4 linked regions of the Lytechinus pictus genome follow. The protein of the gene in region 1 purifies or fractionates together with the protein of each later gene. This does not show direct contact. Links are inferred from orthologs where the notes say so. Each region holds a gene or a part of one and is shown in the gene's direction. Other genes may lie near its edges.

The links.
Region 2: the proteins of serine/threonine-protein kinase PRP4 homolog (region 1) and U4/U6 small nuclear ribonucleoprotein Prp31-like purify together in Homo sapiens (affinity purification with mass spectrometry; 3 studies listed by BioGRID and IntAct, with this or other methods). This does not show direct contact. The link is inferred for Lytechinus pictus from reciprocal best matches to the Homo sapiens genes PRP4K and PRPF31.
Region 3: the proteins of serine/threonine-protein kinase PRP4 homolog (region 1) and RNA-binding protein with serine-rich domain 1-like purify together in Homo sapiens (co-immunoprecipitation; 4 studies listed by BioGRID and IntAct, with this or other methods). This does not show direct contact. The link is inferred for Lytechinus pictus from reciprocal best matches to the Homo sapiens genes PRP4K and RNPS1.
Region 4: the proteins of serine/threonine-protein kinase PRP4 homolog (region 1) and pre-mRNA-processing-splicing factor 8 purify together in Homo sapiens (affinity purification with mass spectrometry; 4 studies listed by BioGRID and IntAct, with this or other methods). This does not show direct contact. The link is inferred for Lytechinus pictus from reciprocal best matches to the Homo sapiens genes PRP4K and PRPF8.

What each region holds. Positions count from the first base shown.
Region 1 is NC_087246.1:68,799,187-68,806,207, reverse strand, and holds the start of serine/threonine-protein kinase PRP4 homolog, read left to right. Parts: upstream 1-4,009; 5' UTR 4,010-4,106; coding exon 4,107-4,123; intron 4,124-7,021. UniProt on the Homo sapiens protein: Serine/threonine kinase involved in spliceosomal assembly as well as mitosis and signaling regulation. Connects chromatin mediated regulation of transcription and pre-mRNA splicing.
Region 2 is NC_087254.1:21,097,085-21,104,213, forward strand, and holds the start of U4/U6 small nuclear ribonucleoprotein Prp31-like, read left to right. Parts: upstream 1-4,126; 5' UTR 4,127-4,200; intron 4,201-4,537; exon of another isoform or gene 4,538-4,599; intron 4,600-7,129. UniProt on the Homo sapiens protein: Involved in pre-mRNA splicing as component of the spliceosome. Required for the assembly of the U4/U5/U6 tri-snRNP complex, one of the building blocks of the spliceosome.
Region 3 is NC_087254.1:22,809,716-22,817,617, forward strand, and holds the start of RNA-binding protein with serine-rich domain 1-like, read left to right. Parts: upstream 1-4,880; 5' UTR 4,881-4,965; coding exon 4,966-4,967; intron 4,968-7,902. Other genes in the region: WW domain-binding protein 11-like, read right to left, coding at 423-516, 1,363-1,394, 2,251-2,314. UniProt on the Homo sapiens protein: Part of pre- and post-splicing multiprotein mRNP complexes. Auxiliary component of the splicing-dependent multiprotein exon junction complex (EJC) deposited at splice junction on mRNAs.
Region 4 is NC_087246.1:34,396,957-34,404,180, forward strand, and holds the start of pre-mRNA-processing-splicing factor 8, read left to right. Parts: upstream 1-4,199; 5' UTR 4,200-4,301; intron 4,302-7,224. UniProt on the Homo sapiens protein: Plays a role in pre-mRNA splicing as core component of precatalytic, catalytic and postcatalytic spliceosomal complexes, both of the predominant U2-type spliceosome and the minor U12-type spliceosome.

The sequences.
Region 1 (7,021 bases):
ATTCCTGTGTTTTTTTAATTTCTGAATAAAGTTATATTTTGCCATCTTGTATTGACTTCTTACCTGATATATCTTCCACCTCAATGCTTGTTGCAGTTGGAAATTTATCCTGCAGGACTGTTTTTATTCTTCCTTCTCCCTCAGTAGCATCTTGTACTCCCGATAGACCCCTTGGCTGAAGAGCTGTCAGCTAGAATCAAATCAATTTTAACTGTGGTTATTAAAAGCTAAATAAATGCATATGCAGTTGCGGCAAACAATATCATAATAAAGTCTTTAAAATTAAAGTTACAGTACATAAATGAGATTCTGGTAACAATATACATTAAAAATCAGTTTGAACAAAAGTCAAAAGAATGACCACCAATCGTTATTATGCATGAATAAGATATGTGCTGAAAGATTTTGATAAGAAAATTGCTGAATAATTCACAAAACAAGCATGCAATCTTAGCCAAGTGTCAGTCTTTTTTCACATATTTTTTTTCCAAATATAATACACTGCCCTACATGTGCTTAGAGGGAATAATTTTCCTGGTATCGCATCGCAATTTGCTCCACATGATTTCGTGATCGCTACACAAAATTTCATTCGTGTAGCAATTTTTGACATAGAACTGTTAAGAGCATATTTGAAAGCTTTTCTCTAATAATCACAAATCATATTTGAAAAGTAAAATTACTCCCTGGCTTATCTGTGAGTGTGATCTTCAGTTTGCTACTTATCAATATCAGCTTAGATTTCACAATTGTAAGTTTATGGCATAAAGAATCAAACTTGTGAACAAAAATCTTGATCCATACATGCAGCACCATCAGCATTGTTCATCTAATTCCAGATCAACATTTCATAGTTGACCAAGAGAATGTATGACAATTTTCATGACTTTCAATAAACCATTCAAAGCATGTTGAAGCAAACAGCAGACAGCTACTATTCATACAAAAAAAAAAGCATATTAAACTAAGGCATCATTTATAAAATCACTGTACACCTCACACAGCAAGACATGCCGAGTGCTTTAAGTGGTGATTTTGGTCATGTGCTTTTTGAATATGTTTATCAAGGTATAATGATATAACCTATTCATTTATGTAAAAGAAATTATACATGCAGGTAATGTCAATGGCCCTACATGAAAGCCCATGATTTCAGGAAAGAGCAAGAGCCCTACAAAGAGTTCCTATTGATCTGATCGACCATAATTATGGAAAGCCAGCAACATCAAGTTGTCAACATCTAAAATGCATGTTTGTTCAAAATACTTTCTATGTACATTCATCGTTCTCTTGAAGATTAACTGTGATTCTCTTTGTTTACTATAAAGGGGATTGTGCAAATTTCTCGTAGAAAAAAAAATGGTACAGACCCGGGGGGGGGGGGGGGGCACTTACATTGACGAGTGGATACCATACGCGACCAAAAAAAACACGTAAAAAGGGTGTCTTTTTCAAGATAGGGCACGTTACGTACGTAATGTAATAAGGGTGTCAAAAACACTAAAATAATGAAAAAAGGGTATCTTTTTTCGCTAGGAAAGCTATGTGTTTAGGGTCAAATTTGCGAGGGGGTAAAAAATTAAGACTAAAATGTTTTTATAAAGGATGTACTTTTTGCCCCAAGAGTCAACACTACGTGTTTAGAGTACGATTTACCCAATAATGTAGGTAAAGGTAACGGTAAAGCCGACGACCGATATATCAATAAAAATATCGCTGTACTTGTTTAGGGAGTCAATTCAGGGAATACTTGGCAAGAGTATCGTTTTGTTTCCAATACTTGTTAAGGGTATGGTTTCACACGCCAATACTTGTTAAGGGGTGCATATTCAGAATATGGAAAATACGTGTTTAGGGTGCTTTTCGAGACCCCATGGTCGCGCATGGTATCCACTCATCAATGGATGTGGCCCCCCGGGGGTAAAGATGGATTTCCCATACAGTTGAGATTAACTGGATCAATTGTAACTCTTTGTACGACAGGGCCCTGGAGTCTCAAAGGTAATGTGTAAATACATGTACATGTAGGAGGCTATAGCCATACTAGGCAAGTAGGCATGTGCAATTTTGACTCACACTTGTGACTGCACACATGTGATTTGAAATAAAATGATCCCTTGATACACAGACACAAATAGCATAAGTGAAATCAACAAAATGACCAAATCAACTTTGTGCAAGGTTTATTTTATTAATCAAACCTTGCTTTATCAGTACCAGTGCCTAAAGTGCAAGACATAGCGCATCTAATTATACTTGCCATTCTCCTTGTAATGCTTGAGGTACTGCGAATTATAGCTTGAAACATTGTTGAAATGTGGATTTCTCAAACTCAACCGAGGACTTCACACCAAATCTGGATCCAAATCTTCGCTTCAGCCTCTCCTGTTATGATTGTTGGACACCACCAATCCAAGATTTCTGGCTCCAAACGTCACTTTTGATGGAAATCTATAACAGGGTATTTCTGTAGATGAGGGTCTTAATCCAGACACCTTAATTTGCATAGATCTGGAAAATAAATAACACAATCATCTTTGAGTTATCTCATCTTTGTTAAACCAAATTCTCAAGCCATTTGTAAAAAAAATAAATATTCATATTGCACTTATTTTTTCAGACATGATGTAGGCTATATAGTTAGTACCGGTAGTTTAAAATGATACCAATTTCATGACAAATCTCTCCGTTCAACTGAGATGTGGTAGGCCTTTGTTTAACTGAATGAAAATTGAAAAAGTGTAACAAAGCCACCTTTTCGTGGGGCGAGTTAAAGACGCATGGCCAATTACGCATAGTTAATATAGACCCTAACATTACAAGAAAATATTTGGCCTTGTGTCTGATTTTCACACTGTAAAGACTACAACGTAATATAATGAACTGTACTTTTTGAAAAATGTATTGTAAAACAGTGAAAAGTCTGATATTTTCCTCTTTACATGTATAACTTAAAGATGGCGGCTGCACATTTCAATTCGTCACAGCCGCGCGCACCAACGAAAGCCTTAGCCTCTGAATGACCCCCACCGAGTTATCAAATAGGGGCCTAAAAAAAAATCTGATGTCCGAACTTGAATGAATGATCTAAACAGCTGGCATGGCCGGGAACAAGGAGTTTAAATTTTTTTCATTTGGAGCTAACAGAGTTCTGCAGAACAACCAATTTAACAGAGACCGAAGATTTTGGTCTAGTCAGCTAGTAGTAGGATGATCATGATTGATTGACTCACTTTCTTTAATTTAAAAAGTCACTCAAAGCCAAGGCCCAAAGACTGCTCATGCTCCACTGTTAAAAAGGGTTCTAACTTCTAAATTCAGATCCAACACTAAACAGTTCAAAGTTTTGATGACTTGCATTCGCAGATTTAGTAAGAGTAAAAATCAGCTGTTCAGGAATTATCCATGTCCAGAGTCAACCTGGCAGCATCTCTATGTCGCGTCGGTACCCTCTCTAAGACTCTAGTATCAGTCTCTATGTACTATGTACGGCTCATCTCAAGGCCTTCTTTCGCGGCCCGGCGCGCCACTCGAGTCCGATCGCGATCCGATCACCGGCACCGGCCCTTTGCGTAATTGGCCAAAGCTAAGACAATCTGCCAGAGTCAAAGAAACCGTTTCTTTAAATAAATCAATTTTAAAATGATTTAAAAATACGTAAATTAATAAATTAATACATTAATTTTTTTTTATCAAAATAAAATGTCTTATATTTGTAAAAAAATAAAATAATATGTCAAATATTGCATTTTTTATTTTCTTATGTTTTAAAACGACTTATCGAACTCTAATGTAAGCCTTGTTGCCTACTTTTTCGAAATGCTTTAGTTTTACAGATCACTTTGTTATAATTGGTAATGTTGTATATAATTAATAATATTTACGATTTTGAATTACTAAAAATATTTTAATTTTTTTCCAATTATTATTTTTGCTTTTATAATGCTGAAATTCTAGAAAAATATTTTTAAAGCAATAATCACTTCACAATATCTGCATCAAAGTTGCCGATTCACATGATTTCGATTCGTCTCAATTCACCGGTATCATAAAATTCCGAGATTATATTTCGTAAAAATGTCTCTTTCCTGAATAAGGCAGGCGAAATGGAAGATACAGATGGGTAAGATAACTCGCATATTTTTGAATGAAATTTAAAATACACTTTCTTCAATTGAAATTCAACCTGTACTTTGAAATTTAAGTTGGAAGGTAAGCTCTTCAATTTAGCTTCTCTGTTTTACCTCAGGCTCAGCCTCATCAGGCGCACTACTCACACGTACCGGTATTGCGAGGAATACGGTAGGGATCTACATGTAACCTAACCCAGGGAGCTCCGGCCCGCGCAGCGGGCCGGAGCCCTGGGGCCCGTTTCTCAACACCTGGACAAGTCATATCTTTATCCACCAACCATCAACCATGGAGTTAGTTCCAATCTTACTAAACCCGTTTCACGAAAGATGAGCGAAAAATGAGCAGACGAGACGTAGCCTTACTCCTTAGTCACAAAATAGCCTAATTTTCAAAAAGAAAAATTATGACAAAATTGCAAATATTGTGATGAATTGGGAAATACATCTTTTCAAAATAACAGCACATTTAAATTATGCATCATACATACTTAGACCATGAAGATTGGAGCATTCAGTTGCTGAGAAAATTAAATTATTAATAATTCATTTCATGACTAGAAAATCACATGTGGACGTTGAGATGGGTACCCCCGGGACATCGAATTTTAATAGTTTACGAAAGTAAACCATAACGGTTTTCTTTGTAAAATGATGATAATTATACGCCCTTCTACGGTTCCATACATCATCAAACTATAGTTCAACAATTTTTGTTAAATCTTTGATACCGAAACATGCGATTTGACAAATTGTATGCATAAATTAGAGATAGAATTTATCCAAATGTTAATAGGGGTCTGAAAACGACAAATACGAGTCCAGTTATGGATGGCCTGACGTGGTAGAATCTTTATCGATTAAATCATTTCACTATTTCAAACTGAAAGGTTTTGTGGCGTTTTACTAACAGTTTTCATAGTTTCTTTGTATTAGAATTATCATTTAATGCATTATCCCACTTGTTTTGTGATGTAATTTCAACCTCTATGATTGATTACGTAAGATTATTATTTTCAAATATCTAGGCGCTTTTGCATGTCATAGTCTACCCACGTGATGCCACTACATGTACGTCACTAAGAAAGAAGTTATGACAGCTTCGGAGGTGTCATAAATATTTAGTGAGGTTGTTGTACCCGATCTTGGTAAAGAGGGCTTCGTGAAACGGTTAGCGGACAAGTAGCTCACTATCTCTGATTTAATAGTCAAGAAGTTAGACTTATGACGGTGTTGAGAAACGGGCCCCAGGGGCTTACCGTGTATTTGACCATACTCACAGGACTAGCGTGATTTATGGTCTAAATATTTCTCCAAATGAATTGTGAAAACAGAAATTATGCACTTACCGCGATTATATGGATGAAGGTCTAACGAGTGGCAGTTTCCTGACATCGAGGCACAGACTGGAACTTCAAGTTAAAAAAAACGAAAAGTTCTCTCCTACCCCAGTCTCGATCGGCCATTTTGTTACGATTCATAACAAAAATGGCCGATCGAGACGGGGGTAGAAGGAGAGAACTTTTCGTTTTTTTGAAGTTTCAGTCTGTGCCTCGATGTCAGGAAACTGCCACTCGTTAGACCTTCATCCATATAATCGCGGTAAGTGTATAATTTCAGTTTTCACAATTCATTTGGAGAAATATTTAGACCATAAATCACGCTAGTCCCGTGAGTATGGTCAAATACATGGTAAGCCCCTGGGCTCCGGCCCACTGCGCGGGCCGGAGCTCCCTGGGTTACATGTAACCCGGCCCAGGGAGCTCAGCCTCAGGCCCGCTTTGCGGGCCGGAGCCCAGGACTCGTCCGTGTAATATGAGGCAGAGAATACTATCCAAAATGGGGTAGAATGGGGTCGCAAAAGCACCCAAAATAAGAGGGGGGAAAATAAATTATGCACTACCCCAATTATAATTAATGGATGAATGGACGGTCTATCGTGACACAGAATCCTGCTGACATCGAGGCACAAACTGGACCCTCAAAAAAAAAAGGAAAAGTCCCGTCTCATTCTCCTTCTTTCAAAATTGAAAACAAAATTGTGAGCATTCATAGTGCACAGCATTTCATCAAAACAAGGCTGCAAATTTTGATCACAAAAATTCAACATTAGGGCTGTTTATCGATAACATCTTTATCGCTAGTCTTGTTGATAATCGCGTTTTTTGCCACTTAGCGATATCAATAACCTTTCTCTCGTCGATAATACCCGCTATTACATGCATGTACATGTAGGGATACAGTGATTTTTTGCGATTTCACGTAAATACACGGAAATGGCCTTTTGAAAGTGAATTTTTAAACAGAAAATAACAGAAAAATTACTCCAAAATTTCAACAAAATATGAATACTTACATGTACTAGCCACAAAACACGATCTCACCCCCACTTCGTTATAATCCTGACAATCCAAACATGACTGCACTTGACTCCATTCGACCTTATCAAAAACATCAGAAGCGCAAGCTCAATTTTAACGAAGTACCAAGTAACGTAGAAGGCAGCACACAAGCCGTGTGTTGCTGCACTCTACGTTTTGAGATGTACAGAACGATATCAAAATGCCGGATAGGCAAAAGACATTGACGATGCCCAAAAAGCCCCAAAATTATCGATAAAAATTCATCCAATCCTAAAATAATGCTAATAACGTGAAAGGTGAGGATGTATTTAAATATATTTGTTTGTTAAAAGATTTTATGTAATCATTTACATCCGATGAACATGGATTTTAAAGCATTCTTGGTACATGTACAGTGGCAGATACAAATTTTGAACAACGCGAGTATGTGACATCGCTATAATGTAGAAAAAATAGGTATTGATTATGTTCTCTGTCGATAGTTATCGAAATTGGCAAGATATGTTTAGCGACATATCGTCAAAGAAT
Region 2 (7,129 bases), on another chromosome or scaffold:
TGTTTAAGTTAAAAAAAAGTGCTTAGAATTTCCATTCTTCGGGTAAAAATGTCGAAAAATTTTAGCTCGCGCTTCGCGCTCGCAATATTTGATTTTTTTGAAATATGTAACGTCTTCATGGCTAACTGCATGCAATCTTTAACAGGTACCTTTTCCATCAGTTCATTTCTGCTCGCGCTTCGCGTTCGTGGTAATTATTTAGCTGCATACACATCTTTTTCAGGATAACAAACATTGCCCAGAATGTTCAAATTTTAGGAAAAAATACATAAGATTTCCAAAAAATTTAGCTCTCGCTTCGCACTCGCATTATATAAATAAGGATTATGATATATTTATGTTGATTAATAAGAATAGAGCCAAAAAGTGACTATTAGGATTACACCTTCAAAGAAACCAAAAATCATCTTCGAGCGGCCGATCGGGGAAAATATGGCTGAAAAAAATTCCGGGCCCCCCCCTATTGGCAAAGGCTGGATCCGCCCCTGCATGGTCAGTATATATGCAAATGAGGTGACTGATGATGACGTCACCCACTGACTATTTCTTGTGTATTTTATTATGTAAAATATTAAATAGTTCTAATTTTCTCCTCATTATCATGTGAAACAATGTTTTGTTCCTCCCTGAACATGTAAAATTACCAATATTCACTTATGGTTCAATCAAGTTGGTCCCTATATTGTCCACATCGGTAAAAATTGAAATATTGTACAATTCAAACATAGTGCGAGAGACATCAATAATCGACTAATTTGCATATCACTGAGTTGTGCATATAAAGTTTATATAGTGAAAAATAAGCAAAACTTTAAAATGCCATAGCTTTCTTATTTTACATCCGATTTTAATGAAATTTGTATTGTTGTGCTTGTTTGATTTTTTTTCTATTTATTCAAATCATCAGTTTTTCTAGGTTGGACCCCTCGGATTAGACCTTTAATACACGAAACGGGCCTTTCTTTGAGATGAAAGGGGTACCGAACACGTTTGTCAGCGGGACCGTTTTCTTGGGTAAAAGGGTTTTCAATGAGGACACAGTGCCGCTCCCCCCCCCCCCCCCCCCGGTGTTATCGAAGTCCACATAGTAAAAAAAAATTATACAACGCTGTTTACTATATGAACCTTACAGTAATTGTTTAAACAGTTTAAACAAGTGTTTAAATCTTAAAGGGATGGTCCGGGCTGAAAGTATTTATAGCTTAATAATTAGAATAAAATTCACTGAGCAAAATGCCGAAAATTTCATCAAAATCGGATAACAAATAACAAAGTAAGTTAATTTTAAAGTTTAGCAATATTTTGTGAAAACAGTGGTCATGAATATTCATTAGTGGGCTGATGATGTCACATCCCCACTTGTTCTTTTGTATTTTATTATATGAAAATAGGTTTATTCAAATTTTCTCTCAAAGAACTAGAAAAATTGGATTGACAACTGATTTAGTGCATTAGATATTTATTGATGCAACTTATTTCATTATAAGGGAGACATATTATTCACACAAGTATGAAATAATGAAAAATATGATTTTATGTAATAACATAAGAAAACGGAAAGTGGAGATGTGACATCATCAGCACACCTAATGAATATTCATAACGACTGTTTTCACAAAATATTGCTAAACTTTAAACTTCAATAACTGTATCATTTGTTATCCGATTTTGATGAAATTTTCGGCATTTTGCTCAGTGAATTCTACTCTATGTCTTAAGATATAAATATTTTCAGCCCGGACCATCCCTTTAAGCGACAAAGTTTAATTTTCAATATCTAAACATGATTGTTTAAACGGTTAAATAAATACTGTAAGGTTCATAATAGTAAACAGCGTTGTATAAAATCTTAAACAGCGTTTTTACTGTGCATGCCCCTTCTCAAATTAGGATTAGGATCTTGAGCCACTTCCGTTTTGGTTTTAATCCTGTAGGCAGTTATCACATAAACTATATTTATACTTTTGTTTGCGGAGATAATGCAGCGTTAAAATTATAATTGATAAATGGGACGCATTGTAATATTTTAATAACACGGACATAGGCAGGGGCGGAAATCTCTCCCAAAAGGTAGGGGGGACACAGGGGCGGATCCAGCCTTCGCCAATAGGAGGGGGGGGGGGCGGAAATTTGTTTCAGCGAGTATTTTCCCCGATCGGCAGCTCGAAGATGATTTGTGTTTTGTTTCTTTGAAGGGGTATAGTCCCCATTAGTCACTTCTTAGCTTTATTCTTATAAATTCATGTATAATATCATAATCCTTATTTATATGATGGGAGCGCGAAGCACGAGCTAATTTGTTGGAAATTTTATGTATTTTTTCCTAAAATTTGAACATTCTGGGCAATGTTTGTTATCCTGAAAAAATTACTACGAACGCAAAGCGCGAGCAGAAATGAACTGATGGAAAAGATACCTGTTAAAGACTGCGTGCAGTTAGCATTTAACAATCAAATAATGCGAGCGCGAGCTGATTTTTTTTTTACATTTTCACCTAAAGAATGAAAATTGTAAGCGCTTTTTGTAACTCAAGCAGAATAGGTATATAAGTAGACAATTGATGCGAGCGCGAAGCGCGAGCGGAAAGTTTCGAAATTTAGTCCTATAATATTTACTGAACGAGACGCTCTATTCATGTTTTGTAAATCATGAAAAGGATGAGTATTAATAATGCGAGCGCAAAGCGCCAGCAGAAAATTTTTATATACGTTTTGAAATGGTACCTGTTGAAAAGGTATCTGTTAAAGGTCAAGTCCACCCCAAAAAAAAGTTTATTTAAATAAATAGAGAAAAATCACACATGAATAACACTGAAAACTTCATCAAAATCGGATGTAAAATAAGAAAGTTATAAAGACATTTTAAAGTTTCGCTTATTTTTCACAAAACAGTTCTATGCTCAACTCAATGATATGCAAATGAGAGAGTCAGTGATGTCACTCTCACTCACTATTTCTTTTGTTTTTTATATATTGTTTGAATTAAACAATATTTCAATTTTTACGAATTTGACAATTAGGACCCCCTTGCTTGAACCACAAAATGTTAAAATAATGGAATTCCACGTGTTTAGGGAGGAATGAAGCACATGACAATGACAATAAAATCAAAATATTTCATATTTCATATAACAAAAAAAAAAGAAATAGTGAGTGGGTGATGTCATCGGTCCCTTCATTTGCATACCGAACAGGATGTGCATATAACTGTTTTTAGAATTTAAGCGAAACTTTAAAAAATAATATAACTTTCTTATTTTTCATCCGATTTTGATGAAATTTTCAGTGTTATGCTTGTTTGATTTTTCACTTTCTATTCAAATCAGCTTTTTGTTGGGGTGGACTTGTCTTTTAAGGACTGCTTGCACTTAGCCATGAAGGCGTTACATATTTCAACAATAAAAAAATTGAAAATTTTAATCAATTTTTGTAATCGTGAACAGGGTAGCTATATAATTCAACAATTGATGCGAGCGCGAAGCGCGAGCAGAAAAAAAAAGAGATTTAGACCTAAAAATTGGCCACTCTGTTCATGTTTTGTAAACAGCCATAGGCTGATCGAGGGCTTTTTACCGTGTTTAAATAAAATAAATCAATTGAGTAGGGGGGACACGCCCCCCCCTGTCCCCCCTGGGATTTCCGCCCATGGACATAGGCCTAATTCTTTTTATAGCCCTACCATACACTGCAATGCCAAGCAAATCTGAAGTTGAACTTTACAAAATATTGGTGAAGGTTTAAGGAAAATCCATCAAAGATTTTAATATTTTTTTTATTTGTCACGTCATATGCGAGCAGCTTCCCATATATCGTGTATTTTAAAAATTCAAGGAAATGTCATTTTCTCAAATAATTTGAAAATAATTTACCATAAACGGCCAATTTCACATCCGCTCCTGAAAATTTTTTTTTAGTCATCATGCACGAACTTCCCACAAAAAAAAGAACTTTATACATTTTATATTACATGACATAAACTATGGGACATTTTTTACGTCACAAAACAAAAACTATAAATTATAATTATAACTTTCTTAATCTATGATGGCTTTTCCTCAAAACTTCATTAATATTTATTTGTTATTTTTTTCTGAATTTAACCATGGACCTATTCTTTTCGTAAGGAAAAAGATTTGTTACCGCGCCGGCCCTCAACGTTCTTTGTTTACACCAAGAAATCGCAGATACAGTGCTCTGGCAGGTAAAATAAATTAAAAATATGCTTGTATTAGTTGTAACTGAGTTTGAAGTCTCAATTCTTATTTTTTTATAATGAGTGGTGATATTCGTAGGTTAATTGTGCGGAAATCGCGTAGTTAAATTTAATGTAATTTTTATTGCGCTATCATATTGGTAACGTGTGCGATCAGCCGAGTGGCGAGTGTAAGTGCAGAGTGCAGTGCAGCCAGCTCCATCGGCATCGCATCGGAACTAACCCAGGGGCAGGGCCAGGGAGCTCCGGCTCGCGAAGCGGGTCGACGTCGGAGCCCAGGAGTCAAGACTCGACTTTTACCTAGTTTTCGTCTCATTATTTGCAGAAAATTGAGCAGATCAGATTCCCATGTTTCGATCGGCGACTCCGATTCAATTCGCATATATGGTAGGTATGTGACAAAAAAAATGAAAATCATCAAATATGAATAAATTTGGTATCACTTGAAAGCTCTTAAAAAGACCTTTAAAATGATACCAAGAACTTTAGTTTTCATAAAGAAATTATAAAGTTATTCCAGTTTAAGTCGCACATATTCATCCAAATTTGTGGTCATTGTCTTAATGTAAAGTCAATGGAGTACAGAATCGATTTTTGTGACCATTTTGTCATTTTTGTGACCATTTTGAACCCAAGTCTTCAACAGGCTCTAACTTCTTTGTTTTTGAGCCCTATGAAGTAATTTAGGTATCAATGGAAAGGTGAGAGAATGCTTAATTGATGTGTATCAATTCATCTAGTAATTTTTCTTATTATGTGTAAAATAATTTCTTCTAATTAATTCTAATTAATTATGCAAATAACAGAAAATCACAATTACTTGCCTCTTTTTTTTGCCAAATGAAGGTGATTATGATAGATAATTCATATAATTTAGTTGGCATCAAAACAGCATCATGTAGATAATTTCCTAATGAATTTGTCTAAAGTATTGTTTTTGTAATTTCTAATGTATTTCTTTGTTTTCTGATATAAATTACAAGCTCTTTTTCAACTTAGTATTGTAATTTTGTATATGTGTTTGTACGGGGGTCCTTTTTTACATATGAAAAAAAATTATTTTGTACTTTGTATGACCAAATAAAAATATGTGTGCTTTTTTCTGATGTATTTTATTGTTTCACCAATTCCTTATGTATTCTATTGTTTCAACAATTTGTTATAATATGTAGCTTTTGATTTGAGAGACAATGGACATGTGATTACATTTTTAGAAGGAATGAGCAGCTGAGTGTAAAATATGTATGTAGAATTGTATGCAATTTATTTCAAGTATCAAGAAGGACGAAAATGAAGTTTTAATATATTGTATCAGTTGTCAATTTCTTAGATTTGTATACATACATTGTATTACAAAAGCCCTGTTTGAGCTCTCTTTTTAAAGAAAAATAAATTCAAATTATTAGTCGAATCCAAAAGAAAAGGAAAAGAGTGGTCTATTTCTTTCAAAACAAAGCAAAAAACAACCATGAAAAATATATAACAAAGCTTTAAACAACAACAACAAAACAGACATCAAAGCTCCAAACAAGCACTAAAAACAAGAGAAACAAAAACTTGTACCAATCCCATCCCCATTTTCCAATTCAAAATACAACCCCCACCTGCACCCCTAAAAAAAGAAAAGTGAACAAAAAAATAAATAGTACAATTAATAATAAACATAAATACAGGACTCAGACCCATCTGGAAATGAAATATTCTTTCCTCTGAGTTTTCATGTATTTTCTTACAAGAGTGAAAAAAATTACAACATAAAATAAACAACATCTAGTTCGTGCATTTTAATAAAAAAAAATCAACATTTAAGATATTCTCCTTTCAAAAGCAAATCCAGTCTCCAAATAATGAAATATGAAAAAAAAATGAAAAAAATAAACAATACAATAATTTAAAAAAGAAACTTAAAAAAATATATTTAAAAAAAAGAAACTAAAAAATAAACATAATATTTGCATTTTAATTAAAAAGTCAACATTTATGATATTCTCCTTTCAAAAGCAAATCCAGTCTCAAAATAATGAAACATGATTGAAAAGTTTCAAAATATTTTTTTTTCTACAAAAGAAAAAAAAGAAACACTATAGATTAACATTAATATTCCACTTCCAAAAGAATCCAGTTTCCAAATGATAAAATATGATTCTATAACCTTAGGAGGAAAGAATGTTTTTGTGACAAAATGTATATATTTAAATCAATATCAGAATAACAATCTACGGTATAATGACAGACATTTTCAGAAAAAGGCACAATATTATCAAGTGAACAATTTAGATCCAGTTCAATCCAGCATGAACGACTCACTATCGACCACTCCCGTCACCAAGCCCTCCGCATCGGGTACCGGTAGCTCGACTGCCGAAAGACCGTCGGGAGCCCACCGCATCGGGCAGCTCGACTGCCGAGAGACCGGCTGTGACAAGGGTAGCTCGCGCCGCTTATATCTGGACTGCTCCACGAAAGAATCTTTTGATATTAGTTTTTTTTTCAATTTGAATACATTTTTAAAAGGTCAAGATACATAATTGGATTGCAGTTCTACTTACCATTAAAACATTTCGATCATTTGCGCATCCAAAAATTTGATGAACTTTCAAGCTCCGATATCCACACTTCACAGGCGAGTATCCACATTGAAACTTACATGTACAGAAAGAGCAAGTCTTCAACTGTCTGTATGGAGGCACGAGATTGCATCAACTATGTGCGCATGCGCATGAAACCCCATTTTCGATGAGCCGCCCAGACAGAGGCGATGCCACTTGCAGCAAAACCCGCGCGAAAACCGTGCAGCCAAAACCAGCGTTCGCGATGCGCCCGTATTCACACATACCTATATATGGCAAGTTCCCCCAAGTCTGCGCAGTCCCCCTTCCCTTGTCTGCGCACACGCGTATTTGCGCGATTCTAGTAA
Region 3 (7,902 bases), on another chromosome or scaffold:
CCATCCCTCCCCACCAACAAAAATATATTAAAAAAAACTGCTGTCACCCATTATATAATGTTGATTTAATATTTCTCAAAATGTACATTTTTTATACATTTAATAATACCTGCAAAAGTTATTGATATTTCATTAATGATCTTCAATTAATTTTGTTCTAAAGTATTTGAATTAATTAAACTCACTCATTTCTTCAACTTCAGAAAAAAAGTTGTTACAATAACAAGTAACCTAATTTATCAAGGGCAGTAATGAGCACAGAAAAACCTTGGTTCATCCAGTGTTGAGACAATATATGTGACTTTGATGATCTAAACCAAGACATGCATCACAGTACATTCGGGGGAAAACCCCATAAAATAAATGCATTTTCAACTGAAAATTCTGATCCACCAAGTGTAATATGGGCAAGAGTAACTCACCTAGTTCATCCAATGCTTCTAAGTCTTGTAGTAAACCCAATGGATCTTTGTTCTTCAAGACAGCAGCTCTCACTGCCATACGCTGCTTCTTGTTCTAATAAACCAACAAGAAAGTCAAACACCAATGATAATGTGAATATGAATTTGGGGTTGACTTGACTTTAAATATATAGAAAAAGGTGATGAATGTACATGTATGAAATGAGGCAATGTATGAATTATAAGTACATTATCCATTACATCACATTTATTTTGTCATGAAGCTCATTTCATCCTGTATGACATGTTTCCACATACATGTAATCAACGAATGGTATCAGATTCTTTAAAAAAAAAAAAAGAATTCTCCAAATTGCATTGGTAAAAAATTCTTGAAACGAGGATACTACAGTGATCAAGAACACAATATGGACATTCTACAACAGAGACCACCACATGAAGGCCAACTGAATTTCAGAGAAAGAACATCTCACTCTCCCACTTCATTACTTTATTCTGACCACATCACTTGTGTACTCTGGCTGAGCATAGGTTTAAAGTTTTGACACAGTGAGGGTGAACTTCACAGGTTTCTATGGAATATTATCAGTAGCTCTAAGAACATATCAATTCATGCCATGAGTCAGTCTCTTCTAATTTATATTTGAAATCTGATATGCTTTACAACATGAAATATTTAAATTTGAATGATTTATTATTAATTCATGGAAACACTTGTCCCATACATGAACATGTACAGAAGTCAGAACAAAATGAAAGACTTTGTAATCACTTACACAGTATGTGACAATGTGTAGTCAGAGACACACTGAGGTGTAAGTGATCAAAACGACTTGTTTTAGTTTTATATCAATATAATTTATCCAGTCAAGAAGGAGGCAAGGGGAGGAAACCATGAGACCCCATATTTACTAAACTACAAGGTTATTAAAGTACTTGCCTTCTTTAATTCCCTCTTTCTTGCTTCCTTCCCTGTGAAAATAAAATATACAATTGTAAAATAAATGTTTAATTGTCCTCTAAAGTCTTTATTTTAAAGGGCTAATGCTAACATCAAGATTTAACAGAAATCCATCCAATCCAAGCCAGCTCCATGTCCCAAGAATTACAGAACATGCCCTAAATTCATGAGAGGTTAAAGCCAAAATTAGGTTTTGAAGCTGTATTTCAGCTTCAATCTCATCATCATTGTGCAAATTCTCAGTCAGACATTGCTTCGCCATAATTTTTATTTAAACTGAAGTTAGCGACCAAAATCATGCAAACATGCGGCAAATAAACAGGTGTGCTGCCGCAGACAAATCTTTTGGTCACTAACTTCAATCCATGTCAAAATTACGGCAAAGCCAAGTAGACCTACTAAAAAAAAAAAGATAACGTCGAGATTGGAGCCGAAATACAGCCTTTCCCGATCGCGATATCTCAGACTCAGGACAAGGTCACAAGCTGGACAAGCGGTGGACATATTTTTATTGACTTCGTCTTCGGAATCGGATGTGACCGAGTCTGACTCTGAGAGTGAGAGACTTGCCATCAATCATCATATTTGCAAACAATTCTGGTCATGCTGGTGGGGAATTAGCTCGAAGTCGGCCGGTGCAAAACTGCATTAGCACCACTGGCATTGCCATTTGCATTAGCATCTCGATTTCGATTGGCATTGCCAATGGCAAATGGCATTGGTTCTATCATTGATACCGCCAGGCATAACAATGCATATTTATCTGCGTGTGGGACCAGGCCTTAATAAAAATAGATTGTCCCAATCCATCCCGAAGCACTCACGCATTCTCATTTCTTCAGCATGATTTACACAAAATTTACTTACTTGCTTGATCAGTAGGATTCATATACTTCCCACTTTTCGTGGTATTGATCGATCGTCTCCCCATTTTGGCAGAATTTTAATAGGAATTCTCCTCACGATCACAAAATCCACGGGCACGGTTAAAGCAAATGTACAATTATTGTATCTCTATCGATGAGGGCGCGAACACCGATGATGATCTCCCCGCGATTTACCCCCACAAAAAGCAATCCTACAGATCGAGGAGGAATTACTGGGAATTACTCGGATATAAATATATAATGATAATATATTCCAACATTTCCAAGAATTTAAAATTTCTGTGATTTTAAATATGTTTTCAGATTCATTTGAAGGAGTCTAGACCGACCAAATTAGGCAACAAGTTTTTCATGGCCCTCAAGGGCGGAAATCTCTCCCGGAAGGTATAGGGGACCAGGGGCTGGAAAATTTGACAATTAAGCAAAAAAAAATTAAAAAAAGTTTATCACCCCAAATGTAAGGTCACTTCGACCAAAATAAATTTTACAAGCAAAAAAAAAAAAAAAGAAAAGAAGGTTATCACCCAAAAAGTAAGGTCATCTCGTCCAAAATACATGTTTTATTTCAATTTTGAATTATGTATTTCTTTCCATCATACAAAAAAAGTAGGGGGATCAACATTTTGATATTTCGAGGCCTCCATCACTTTCAAGCTCCAAGCTTAAGATGGAGGTCTCCCACATTTCTATATATATATGTTCAGTAATTAAAGAAAATGTATATATATAGATATAATTTCACAGTCCAGTTGATATTTTATAATGATTTATGTGCATTATTCATTATGTTTAAAAAAATATTTGCCTATTATGTAATATTGAAAAAAAAATATTATACTTGTATATTTTTTGTTTTTGTTTTGAAATGTGGAAATAAAATAAATCAAATCAAATCAAATATTGTGTCCCCATACTATTTTGGGTAGGGAGGACGCGTCCCCCTGTCCCCCCTGGGATTTCCGCCCATGATGGCCCTGCGAAGCGGGGATGCTAAAGTTCAGCACCTCCTAGCTGAATTCTGGAAGATGTAGCGAATTTGGAAATGTAAGGAAAATGACTTTTTTCTAGGGACCAAAACGACCTTCATTTTGTAATGAAACTTTTTTTTTTGCTCGTCAAATTTACTTCAGCACCCCAGCAAAGGACCCTGAAAAGCTTCTAATGGAATGCTCCATGTTCAAAATTTTGTTGCACAATTAACACATGGCTTAATTTGTGATGCGACAATTAAGACAATCACAGAACTCTATGTCCACTCTCACAAAATAACAGATAAACATAGATAAATACATAAAGAAGAAGAAGAAGAAAGGAAGAAGAATTAAGAAGAAGAAAAAGAAGAAGAAGATCGAAGAATTGATTTGTCATACTACTTTTTGCGTTACGTTCTATCTTTATATACCTTGAAATTTATTTGTCACTGAATCTATAAAGTCGGCCTAAGATTTATTAAGAATTAGGCCTACTATTATCATTATTGTTATTATTATTAATATTACTTTCACCATCATCATCTTTATTATTATTATTTTCATCCCGGGATTTTCATCACCATTTTTATTGTTATCATCATTATCTAATATTAGTTTGTTCTTGTTAATTGTTGTTGTTATTCATCACTATTAGTGAGAGGTTTTCCTCTGTTCTTTGTTGAAACCGTAATCAATGATGTATTTACATACAGGCTTATATGTTCTCAGGCCTATTTCCCTGTATGCAACTTATTACTTTTTCCCGCATTTTTTTTTTACTGAAATGGAGTCATCTCGGTGTAGTCAAGAGAAAATCAATCCGATAAATCTGGACAGACCGGGGGCCGCGAAACGAGGGAGGAGGGGGCTGGGTTGGCTTTAGCCCCCACTTTTTTTTCCAAAACCGTGTACAAAAACATAAAAATTACCGTCGCATTGTTATTTTTGCATGGTCCCCCCCCCACCCCCCCCCCTTTCACAGCCGTTCTGCCTTCCGCGACCTATAGCTAGTCTGCAGGCACAGACTAGACCTAGACCAAAAGCTTCGGTCTCCGTTATGTTGGTTGTTCAGCTGAACTCCGTTTTAGTTGGCTTCACTCACCAAATGTGTACGAGGAGAAATTAAAAAAATTAAAAATGTAAAAAACCTCCTCGAAACAGACGGCTGCCAGCTGTCTAGCACAGACCCTGATTGAAACTTTCAGTGTGTCTCTACGCAAAGACTAGCACATATAAAACTTGCTGTTGAGCGCGAGAGGGCCTTCAGTATATACACAAGGCATGAGTAGGTAGGCTGCAATTCAGACCCTTTACTCGAGTGAAGGGTTTGCACAGCAGACTATAGCATTTAGCCCACTGAACTAGAGATACGTATTTTTAGTTCAGTGATTTAGCCGCCGCGCCCCTCCAAATTAGTCTGCTATGCAGACTCTGAATGGCTCGTGAAGTGGGATCTGCAGCTGGTTTGCGAAGCAAACCAGCCTGAAAGGGCGAGCGAAGCGAGCCATTTCAGATCTGCAGGCTCTAGTAGACCTAGTCTGCTATGCAGACTCCTTGAATCAGCTGTGATACACACACTGCAGATGTGGGTCTACAATTGTAGACTACCTCCAAATCGCATCGATGATGAAAAAAAAAGGGGTCCTATAATTATACTGCTGCTAGAGGGCGCTCGTTCTGGCCAAAGAAAGTAGCGTTTGCTGCGTCCTTCGGTCCCAGTCAAGATGTAAGAACAATCGCTTTATTTCGAACACATCTTAATATTCTCGTCGTAATTTGAAAATTTATGAGTATGCTCGATATGTTATCTTAACATGCATTGTTAAATTTTTGTATATAATCAATATATTAGCGTGATGATCATCGTGTCAATTATGCGAATCCATTGACGATCGAAGTCATTTTAATGACTTTATTGTCAATGAGTGGGACTGTACGAAATGAAACTCGGTTTCTAATTACGGTTTTCTTGAGTAGATCTACCCTGAAATGAAATCTTATTGTAATGGTTGTACATGTAAAAACTGTCCTCATAAACAAGGACCCTCGCAGGTAATCCTAAATCCTGGGTATTTGTGTTTAGCCTTTTGCTTTAGGCCTAACCTAGAGTAGCTTGCCTTTTCTTTTTGACTTTTGAGTAAAAATTTTAGTTTTACTTTTTAGTTTTAAAATTAGCCTTGGCTTTGGCTGCCACATGTCACATCCTACCTCAGGCGATGTTCGTGCAGGCTCCACTTCACTACCGCTACACTACGCTCCACCTACCCGAACATCGGGACCGTGAACCATTTCGGATATACCGAGTCACAAAGGTCATGAACAGTAGAGGCGCACGGCCAATATTGGAGACTGTCTCCAATGTGGGAGATTATCTCCAATATCAGAGACTTTTGTAAAGAATTTGGGTATCCAATTTCAGAGACAGTCTCCAGTTTTGGAGTCCAATTTCCTTTGTTTACATTTGCTGCAAAAGGATTACCTTGGCGGCAAATGAAAATGTGATAAGCAGATTCCTCATGAAAAATTACCCCTTTTCACCGTCTACTTTAAAAATTCACCGTCTACTTTTGTTTTGATAAGGATTTTTGTTGTCAATCACACACAAAACAAATGGGCTTCTGATCTCAGTGAGACAAAATTTTGGGTGGAAAAAAATCATGCTTTTGTTGGTGTTGTTTCTTTTGTCCTTTTGCAAAGCAAGGCTCCAATGTGGGAGATTGTCTCCCCTATTGGAGAGAGTCTCCCATATTGGCCGTGCGCCTCTACTGATGAAGGTGGGATGGCAATCATGATAATCATAAAAATTAAACAAAAAAAATATAACGAAAAAGATGATTGACTTAATATCTTACTCTACACCCGTATTTCACTCCGTGTCCATCCTCCGGTTATCCTCAAAATTTGTGATTTTGGGCCAGTATCTTTCTCCTCACACGTATTATTCACGGCTGATTTCAAATCATCGCATGCGATCGCGATCGGTTTGACTTTTAGACATCCGAATTTGAAAATTCAAACAGTTTTGTGAATCGTAGATATTGAGCCTCATTGTGAGCATATCAAACATGCTGGAACAGCCTTTCCTAATTTTCACCTGAAGTGCCTAATTTAATACCTCATTCATTTTAATGGCCCCAGTAGTAACAAGAAAGTTATGGTAGTTTTAAGTTCGTACAAATCGCCCCTTCAATTCTTATGTATTCCTTTGTTTTTTAAAACAAAAGTTGTGACCTTAATTGGGGACCAAGGTGCACTAATACTAGAAAACAACATACATTGGCATATGGAAGTGCCCAACAACACTCCCCAAAATTACAGACGCCGCCGAAACAGGGACATAAAAAACACACTTAGCGTCAGTAGATCTCTTTCAAATTTCACCGCAATGGAGTTGAAATGTTGTTCTATCGGAATAAATACCTTTTAGAGTGGGATGATACCTGTAAATATAAATAGCAAGAGGTTGAAAGCAAGGCCAAATTTCCAGTAGCACACAGGGTCGCAAGATCACCGAGTGATATTTTTTCAAGTCTAGACAGCTGCCATAAACATTCAACTACGTAAAAACAATGATGTTATGGGGAATAACTTTCCTTGCACATGCAAACACAATACAAAGCAATGCCCCCACAGTCACCCTGCAATTATAGGCAGCACACTCAATGCTTCATTCACTTTTGTAACATACCTATACCAAGGCTCCACATTAACTTTTTTTGGTGGTGGCCCGTTCGGGCCACCAAAACCATCAAATAATTTTTTTTTGGTGGCCCGATATTAAAGTTTGGTGGCCCGAAAAATATAAAGAAACACATTAAAAATTGATAAAACAAACTTCTGAAATATTAATTCTGCAGCCACTACCACTAAGTTACTTCCACTTTATCATCTTGTATGTAAACCTTGTTTGCTGTTATTTTACTTTGCTAATTGGCTTGTGGTAAAATATAAATTGTTTCTATCATTGTAAAAATGAAATGATTGAAAGAGAATAAATGAATTTTATTGTTCCCAGGTTGTGTGGACTTTTTTTAAATCTCTGTATAGACACACACACTCATAATGGTAAAGTAAATAAATAGTGCATAGCAAACACAGATAGATGTACAAAACTATGGTTTTTCATTTCTTCCTCTTTGAATCCTAAAACCTAAATTATGCAGGCCCCAAATCCATTTTATTTCTGTTTTCCCTTTTGCAGTATATTATAGCAGGAGAAAATCACAGAAAAATATTCTGCAAAATTAGAACAATGCATAAAAGGGGGAAACAAATGAAAATAATTTTCAAAAAGTATATTACAAAAAGAAAAAGAAAAGAAAAGAAATAAGTGAAATAAAACAAAAGAAAGAAAAAACAAAGAACAGGGAAAAAAAGAAAAGAAAAAATTAGAGAGAAAAAAAAAAAGAAAGTGAAAGAAAAATGAATAAAACAAAATTAATATAAACATGGGAAAAAGGGGAAAATTAAGAAGCCATTACGAATATTTGTTAACAGCTGTGGCAACAGTCTATTCTGACTGGAATATAATTAAAAGCCAAGCAAATAATTTTCACTTACCTTCTGGGAATGGCATTTTATATCCTTTAGTTTGTATTATTTTATTTTCAGTAGAAACATATTTTTTAATCAGGCATATTCAATGGGAAGGGGTATAAATG
Region 4 (7,224 bases), about 34 Mb from region 1:
AGCGAGCAAAGCGAGCTGGAAAAAAATTGCCTATTGAAATTAAATTCTAATTATGTGATAGATTTCTCCATTATATTCAGCAAATAACACATTTCATTGTTTCCATTCATTTCATTATACGTTGTCTCCTATAATTTCTTTTATTTCCTCTTGGGTGTTGAACCAAGACCCTCCCCCGCCTGTACGCCAGTGATTGAACGTAAAGCTTAATGTAGGAAGGGTCCCTACAGGGGGCGTAATAGAGCCATTTGAAGGTCATAGATGAAGAGCCCCTACTGCTTGGGGTCTGGGGCTAAGCCCCGGTAGCTTATTTGCATAAAATTGAGCAAGCTAATAGCACAATGTTGTATGCAGTCCATCTTTCTTCCCGCTCTTTATTATCTATCCTCGTCAGCCCGGTCGTGTTATTAAGTTTTTATTTCTTGTGCCTTTTCTTTGTTTTCCAATTTAGCTTTTGACTAATTCCATTCTACCTTCATTTCCCGCTATTGTTTGTCAGTTTGTGATCTTTCCCATCATGCTATTGCACTACATAGGTCTATTTCGGAATGATTTGTTCTTTCTCAAATGCTCTTCTTTTGTTCTTCTTCCCGCTTTCCTTCCTTTTCCATTTAAAGGACATCCATTTAAAAAAAATATATATTTTTTGTTTTCTTTCCACTTTTCCCTTTCTCTTTCCTTTTCCTCCTTTCCTTTCCCTCTTTTCTTCCCCTTTCTTTCTCCCTCTCTTTTATTTTTTCCCTTTTTTATTTTCCCGGTGAAATTCGCCAGGGGGGGGGGGCAACTTGCCCCCCCCTGCCCCCCCCCCGCCTGTTACGCCACTGGATGCTTATTCAACAATATTAGATAATTTTCAATATACGTTTTGATCTGATCTAAAAAGGATCTGTTAACGGCTGCTTGCAGTTAGCCATGAAGACGTTACATATTTGAACAATCAATATAATGCGAGCGCGAAGCGCGAGCTTAAAATTTTGACATTTATATACCCGATGAATAAAAATTCTGAGCACTTTTTGTAATCGTGAAAAGGATAAGTATATATAACAAAACAATTGATGCGAGCGCGAGCGGAAAAAAAAAATCGAGATTCACACCTAAAAATGGGACACTCTATTCATGTTTGGTAAATCATGAAAATGATGAGTAATTTGAAATCTTCCTACATTAATAATGCGAACGCAATGCACGAGCAAATTTTTTTATACTGCGATCTGAAACTTGATAATGATTTAAATAGAGTACAGGCAGCGTATCTAAATAAACATGCGTGGGCGTGTTTCAGATTTCGACCTAGAATCTGGGCATTCTAAATGCCTTTTTTATCATGAAAATCAATAAAGCGAGCGCGAAGCGCGAGCTTAAAATATTTTATATTCCGATCTGATAAAAAGGATCAATTCAAGCTCTGTATTTCAAGCACTTTGAAGGGAATTTGTGAGGTGGATATGGATCAGAGTTAAAAAAGGAGCTGATATGTTTCATTATTATTACTTGAGTTTTGACATAGGACCGGGACATTCTAAGAACATTATGTCATCATATGAAAATGATGACTATATTCCTATATTTCTTCCTAAGCACGAGATGAAACTTGCCGATATTCCATTCTGAAAAAAGGGACAATTTGATTATTAAATTAATATCTTATTCATTAATCTAATAAGACTAATGAGAGCGCGAAATCTCTTAATATTATGGCCTGAAAACTGGACATTTAAATCACTTATGTAATTATGAATAAGATGCATGAGTTAATATATTTTCAACAATCAATGCGAGCGCAGATCGCGAGCCGAAATTTTTGATAAACTGTCAAGAAATGGGGATTCATTAGTTTGTTATAGAATTAATATTGATACACTTAACTCACCAATCAAAATGCGAGTGTGCAGTGTTAGCTGATACGTTTTGACAATCTGACCTGAATAGGGATATTTTGAGAACTTTATGGAATACAGGAAAATAATAGTTACCTGACAAATCCAATTTTCCGAGCGCGCAGCGCGAGCAGAAAATGTTAATATTCAGACCATAAAACAGACATTTCTACAGGGCAATTTTTAAAAATCAATTTGTAAATCGAACAAAAATAAAGAAAGTTCGATTTCCGAGCTGAAATATGTTTTGTATATTGACTTCAAAATTAATATGTTAAGCTCCATATTGAACAAGATATGTAAATCACCTAAAATGCGAGCGCAAAGCGCGAGCGAAAAAGTTATATAGTGACATGAAAGATTAAAAAAAAATTTTTTTCAAGTCTTCCCCTCATCTTATTTTATTCACTCGTCTTCCTCTTTTTATGTTTCTTCTTCTTTTGTCTCCTCTCTTTTCCTTTTTTTTTCTTTCTTTCCTTTTTTCTTTTTTTCTCTCCGCCAATAGGGGGGGGGGGGGGGGCCTCGGCCCCCTGGATTCGCATATGGTCTTGGGTTGTTGACTTTATTATTGGCCTACCTTTAGAGGAAGATGGGGCAAAACAGAATTTTGAAATTTGCAAAAGTTAACGGGTCGTGTTATTCAGTGGTTAGAGCATATTGGACTCATAATCACGAAGTTGTGAGTTCGAATCCTCACTCTGCCATTGTCTCCACTTTGAAAAAAGACCCGAGAGTAATATCTGTCGTCTATACCGTCAGCCACTATGACTGATTAACCTAGACGTTAAATGTTTGCTAGGTAATTGGTTATATACCAGCTCGGCGTTTACCAGCAAAAGCTGTCCTGTCGAGTTCCTACGGGAGTTACCATAAACAGAAAGAGAAATAGGCCTATATGGAAGTTTAAAAGTGCATGCCCCCCCAGGGGGGGGGGGGCACTTACATTGACGAGTGCATACCATTTGCGACCCAAAAAACACGTAAAAAGATAGGGCGCGTTACGTACGTAACGTAATAAGGGTGTCGTCAAAACACTAAAATAATGAAAAAAGCCTGGGGTATCTATTTCGCTAGGAAAGCCACGTGTTTAGGGTCAAATTTGGGAGGGTATAAACAATTCAGACTAAGATGTTTAATAAAGGATGTCACTCTTTGTCCCAGCAGTCAACACTACGTGTTTAGTACGATTTGCGCGAGATATGGGAGGTGGGGCCGTACTAAACCCAATGATGTAGGTAAAGGTAAAACCGACGACCGACGTCCGTACGTGACATAACAATTAAAATATCGCTGTACTTGTTTAGGTGTTCAATTCAGGGATAAGTATCGTTTTGTTTCCAATATACTTGTTAAGGGTAGGGTTTCACACGCCAATACTTGTTAAGGGGTGCATTTTCAGAATATGGAAATACTTGTTTAGGGTGCTTTTCGAGACCCCATGGTCGCGCATGGTATCGATCCACTCGTCAATGGAAGGGCCCCCCGCCCGGGAAAGTGCCACCCATAATATAATCATCTCGTCATGTCTGCATCCCGTGGGAGAGATGATCAGACAAATTCTTAGATCATCGTCATGTGTACGTCCCGTGTGAGAGATGATCAGATTGCAAGATCTCGGATCTCATCATGTCTACATCCTGTGGGAGTGATGATCAGATGATAAGATCTTGGATCTCGTCATGTCTACATCCTGTGTGAGAAATGATCAGATGGGAAGATCTTGGATCTCGTCATGTCTACATCCTGTGGGAGAGATGATCAGATGTTGTAAAAATAGCAGAAAAAAATAATGGAAAATATTGGTGAAGGTTTGAGTAAAATCCATTAAAGATTAAGAAAGTTATTAGAATTTTAAATTTTAGCTTTGTGACGTCATAAACGAGCAGCTGCCCCATATGTTTTGTAATATAAACGCATAAATTTCATTTTTTTAATGGTTCGATCGTGATGACTTGTTTTTGTTTTCTTTTTAGGAAAGGGTGTGATACAGTTGTAAATCAAACAAACAGAGGCGTCGATCTTGGGGGGACAGGGGGGAAGGCGATCGCCCCACCAACGAAAATATGGGGGGGGGGCAAGCATAGCGCTTCGCCCCCAATAATTCCTTGAGTGCATCAAAAATAAAACTAAAGTTACACAGAAATTAGTTGGCAACTTAGCCAAATACAGTTTAAAATTTGGTTAGGCCTACGTTATTTTCGACCCACTATAGGTCCATCCAAATCTGAACAATTTTTGTTTTTGAAGGTGTATCCGCAGAAAAAAATCCGATATGACATCATTTGCAAACAAATAGTTTTGATCCCCGAGAGAGCGGCCAATTGCGGAATGCCCACTCGACTCAGCGCGGTGGCCATAGAAGTCGCGCGCCCTCTGCGTTTGGTAACACTTACGTTGCGTCTTGTTCGAGATTACGAAAGAGTGAGTAGAATTTAGACTCCAAATTTTAATAAAGTGAGACCATATAAATTCACAATTTATTCTTAGAATTAGATCTGAATCTTACCACGTTTGCCTAGTTTGCCATATATCATTTGATGTAATTTTGTTGCCTCAAGAGCTGGAGCAGGGAGCTCGGGAGTGCAGTGAGAAAGCAAGCGAAGCTCGACGATTTGTATTGTGAGTGAATGGAGTGGAATATGGATGTTGTAATCGGTCATGTATTGTTATGCCGCCACGCCAGTGTGTCAGTGACTGAGTGAGCGACATTGTTGTGACACTTGTGGGCCGTGGGGAAGCTGGGGGGGGGGGGGGTTAAACAGCTGGCAGCCGTCTGTTTCGAGGAGTTTTTAACATTTCTTATTTCTCGTCACCTACGGGTACATTACCAGTAGTACAGTACTCCAGTACTGATTACCGCCGCCGTGCACAGCCACAGGATAACCACTGGCACGGCATACCCAGTTGTTGTGTGTCCGGACGATCAATTTTAGAAAGTCATCAGTAGAGGCGCCGGTCAGAAAATTGGGATCGTCCCAGAATACAGGGACTGTCTCAGTTTATAAGGATTTCTTCACACTAGAAATCTAGGAAAGTTCATTCACCTGTCAAGTGCCGACACCAATCAAGTGTGCTAGTCAATGTAAACATATCAGGTTTCATAACAAGATTATTGGAAGACGGTAAGTCATGAAAATTAGACGGCGAACTGGGGGGAATTGAGGTCACTGAATCTATTTTTAGCACTCTCAATTTCCGTAATTGCTGTCTTTGTCCCGTAGGGAGAAGTGAAAAAAAAACGTCCCCATAAACAAGGACAGTCTCAATTTATCAAGACATGATTTGTCTTGGTTTATGAGGATATCCTTGTTTTCTGGGACAATCCCAGTTTTTGGACCAGCGCCTCTACTGGTCATTTGGAAAAATTTACAAGGAAATCAATCAATTTTTAGTACAAAATGTCAGGAAATATTATAGAGAACAAAATAGAAGATGATTACAACTATTGATTTCGTATTTGTAGTGTAATCCAATGACAAAAAAGAAGGCTTCAAAAATATAAAGTGTCCGGACACCCGATCCCCCATCCCACTTGCAACACCTTTATTATTTTTAAATTAGCAATACATTACAGATTTCAAATTAAATAAACTTTGGTCTTTGGATATGAAACTTACCAAACGATATGAAGCCAATTTCAATTCCTCTCTGTCTTTCTGGTACTTTATATCAATGATTTTTCTTGATGTCGAAGCAGGCATGGGGCCGATTCGCTGGTTCTCGACTTGAATCTAGACTGTTCGATAGGAAAAATTCGCATTTCAATTGTTGTTTGCGTAATTTCCACCGCAGTATTAAGGATCGGACGGAGTAACTGGCTGAGATTTGGAGGTAAGCGTTTAAAATCCATTTTTATAGATAAGTTCGTGCTGATTTTTAAAATTAGATTACATTAGCCTTAGGCCCTAGGCTATATGATTAAGATTACTAAATAAGTAAATTTAGTATATTGTGAAGATTTAGGCGTGTTTCATATTCTCACATTCGTGTGATGAATGAAAACGTCAAAATTCATTATGAAATGACATGCGTTGTGCGAGGTTAATATACTAACCTCGCATGTTGTGTGAGTACTTTCTCGTAGACGTCGTAGTAGTAGTATACCCAGTTGTGTGTCCGGACGATCAATTTAGAACGTCATTTGGAAAAATTTACAAGTGAAGTTTCATCAATTTTTATTACAAAATGTTAGGAAATATTAATATTTTATATGGCAAGTTCCCCCAAGTCTGCGCAGTCCCCCTTGTCTGCGTATCTGCGCGATTCTAGTAAAAGAAGATACGCAACGAGCACGAAGTTTAAACATGCAATGCAATACATAGACAGGTATTCATAAAAAAATCCGACTGAAAATGGTGGAAAAATAAGGAATTTAGGGCATTTCATGTGATGGCCTCAAAATGCAGCCTTTCTCATCAAAATCCCCGAATTGTGCAAAGTGAATGAGTGCGCAGACATGGAGTATCTTTTTTTTTAATCTGAAAATGACTGCCCGAGGTTTTTTCAAGAAAATCCTATATTTTCTTTCATTTTTTAACGAGAAATTTGGTACACTTACTCTTAATAATAATATAAGGAACATTATTAACTGAAAGATTTTGTGAAATAAGAAGAAATTCATGTTAAATCTTAACTCAAATTGTTAGGTGCGCAGACTTGGGGCCCACCATCATAGAGAACAAAATAGAAGATGTTTACAACTATCGAATTCATATTTTTAGTGCAATCCAAAGACAAAAAAGAAGGCCTCAAGAATATAAACTGTCTGGACACCCGACCCCCCCATTCTACCCAGACGGCTCGCGATCGGGCAGCCGCATTTAGGGGGTAAACCAGGCCTCTTCAAAGAATTTTTTTCATCTCTTGCCCTGTCGGGCAAGTGATAAAAAAATTTGCTTGACCAATAGAAAAAACTGCTTGCCCGATTTTTTTTCAAAAATTCTTTTGCTCTTAATTCAATTCAAGACTTTAATCCAGACACAGCTGCATATGCAGAGATCCATATCATCAAATAACATACATGTAATATACATCAAGACAAACGTGCAAATAGAACAAATAAAGTATAAACAGCGTCCTGGTTGAACTTGATATACTGGCGCTGGCCTCGGCATTTCTTTTTCTTGACTCTTGTTCAAGTTCTGGTCGCCGATCGCGACGACAAAAGTCGCCTATTTTAGTCTGACAACTCATTGTTTATTTGGTTTGAAGTTGAAGCCGAGTCCTGGCCGAGTCAGTCCGAAGCTTGCATGCATTCAGCGCGATCTAGCTCGAGAGTCGGCTGGCTCGCGATCGCTCGTGTACGTATGTACATGTACTGTAGCGCCAGTGTATTAGAGCATGC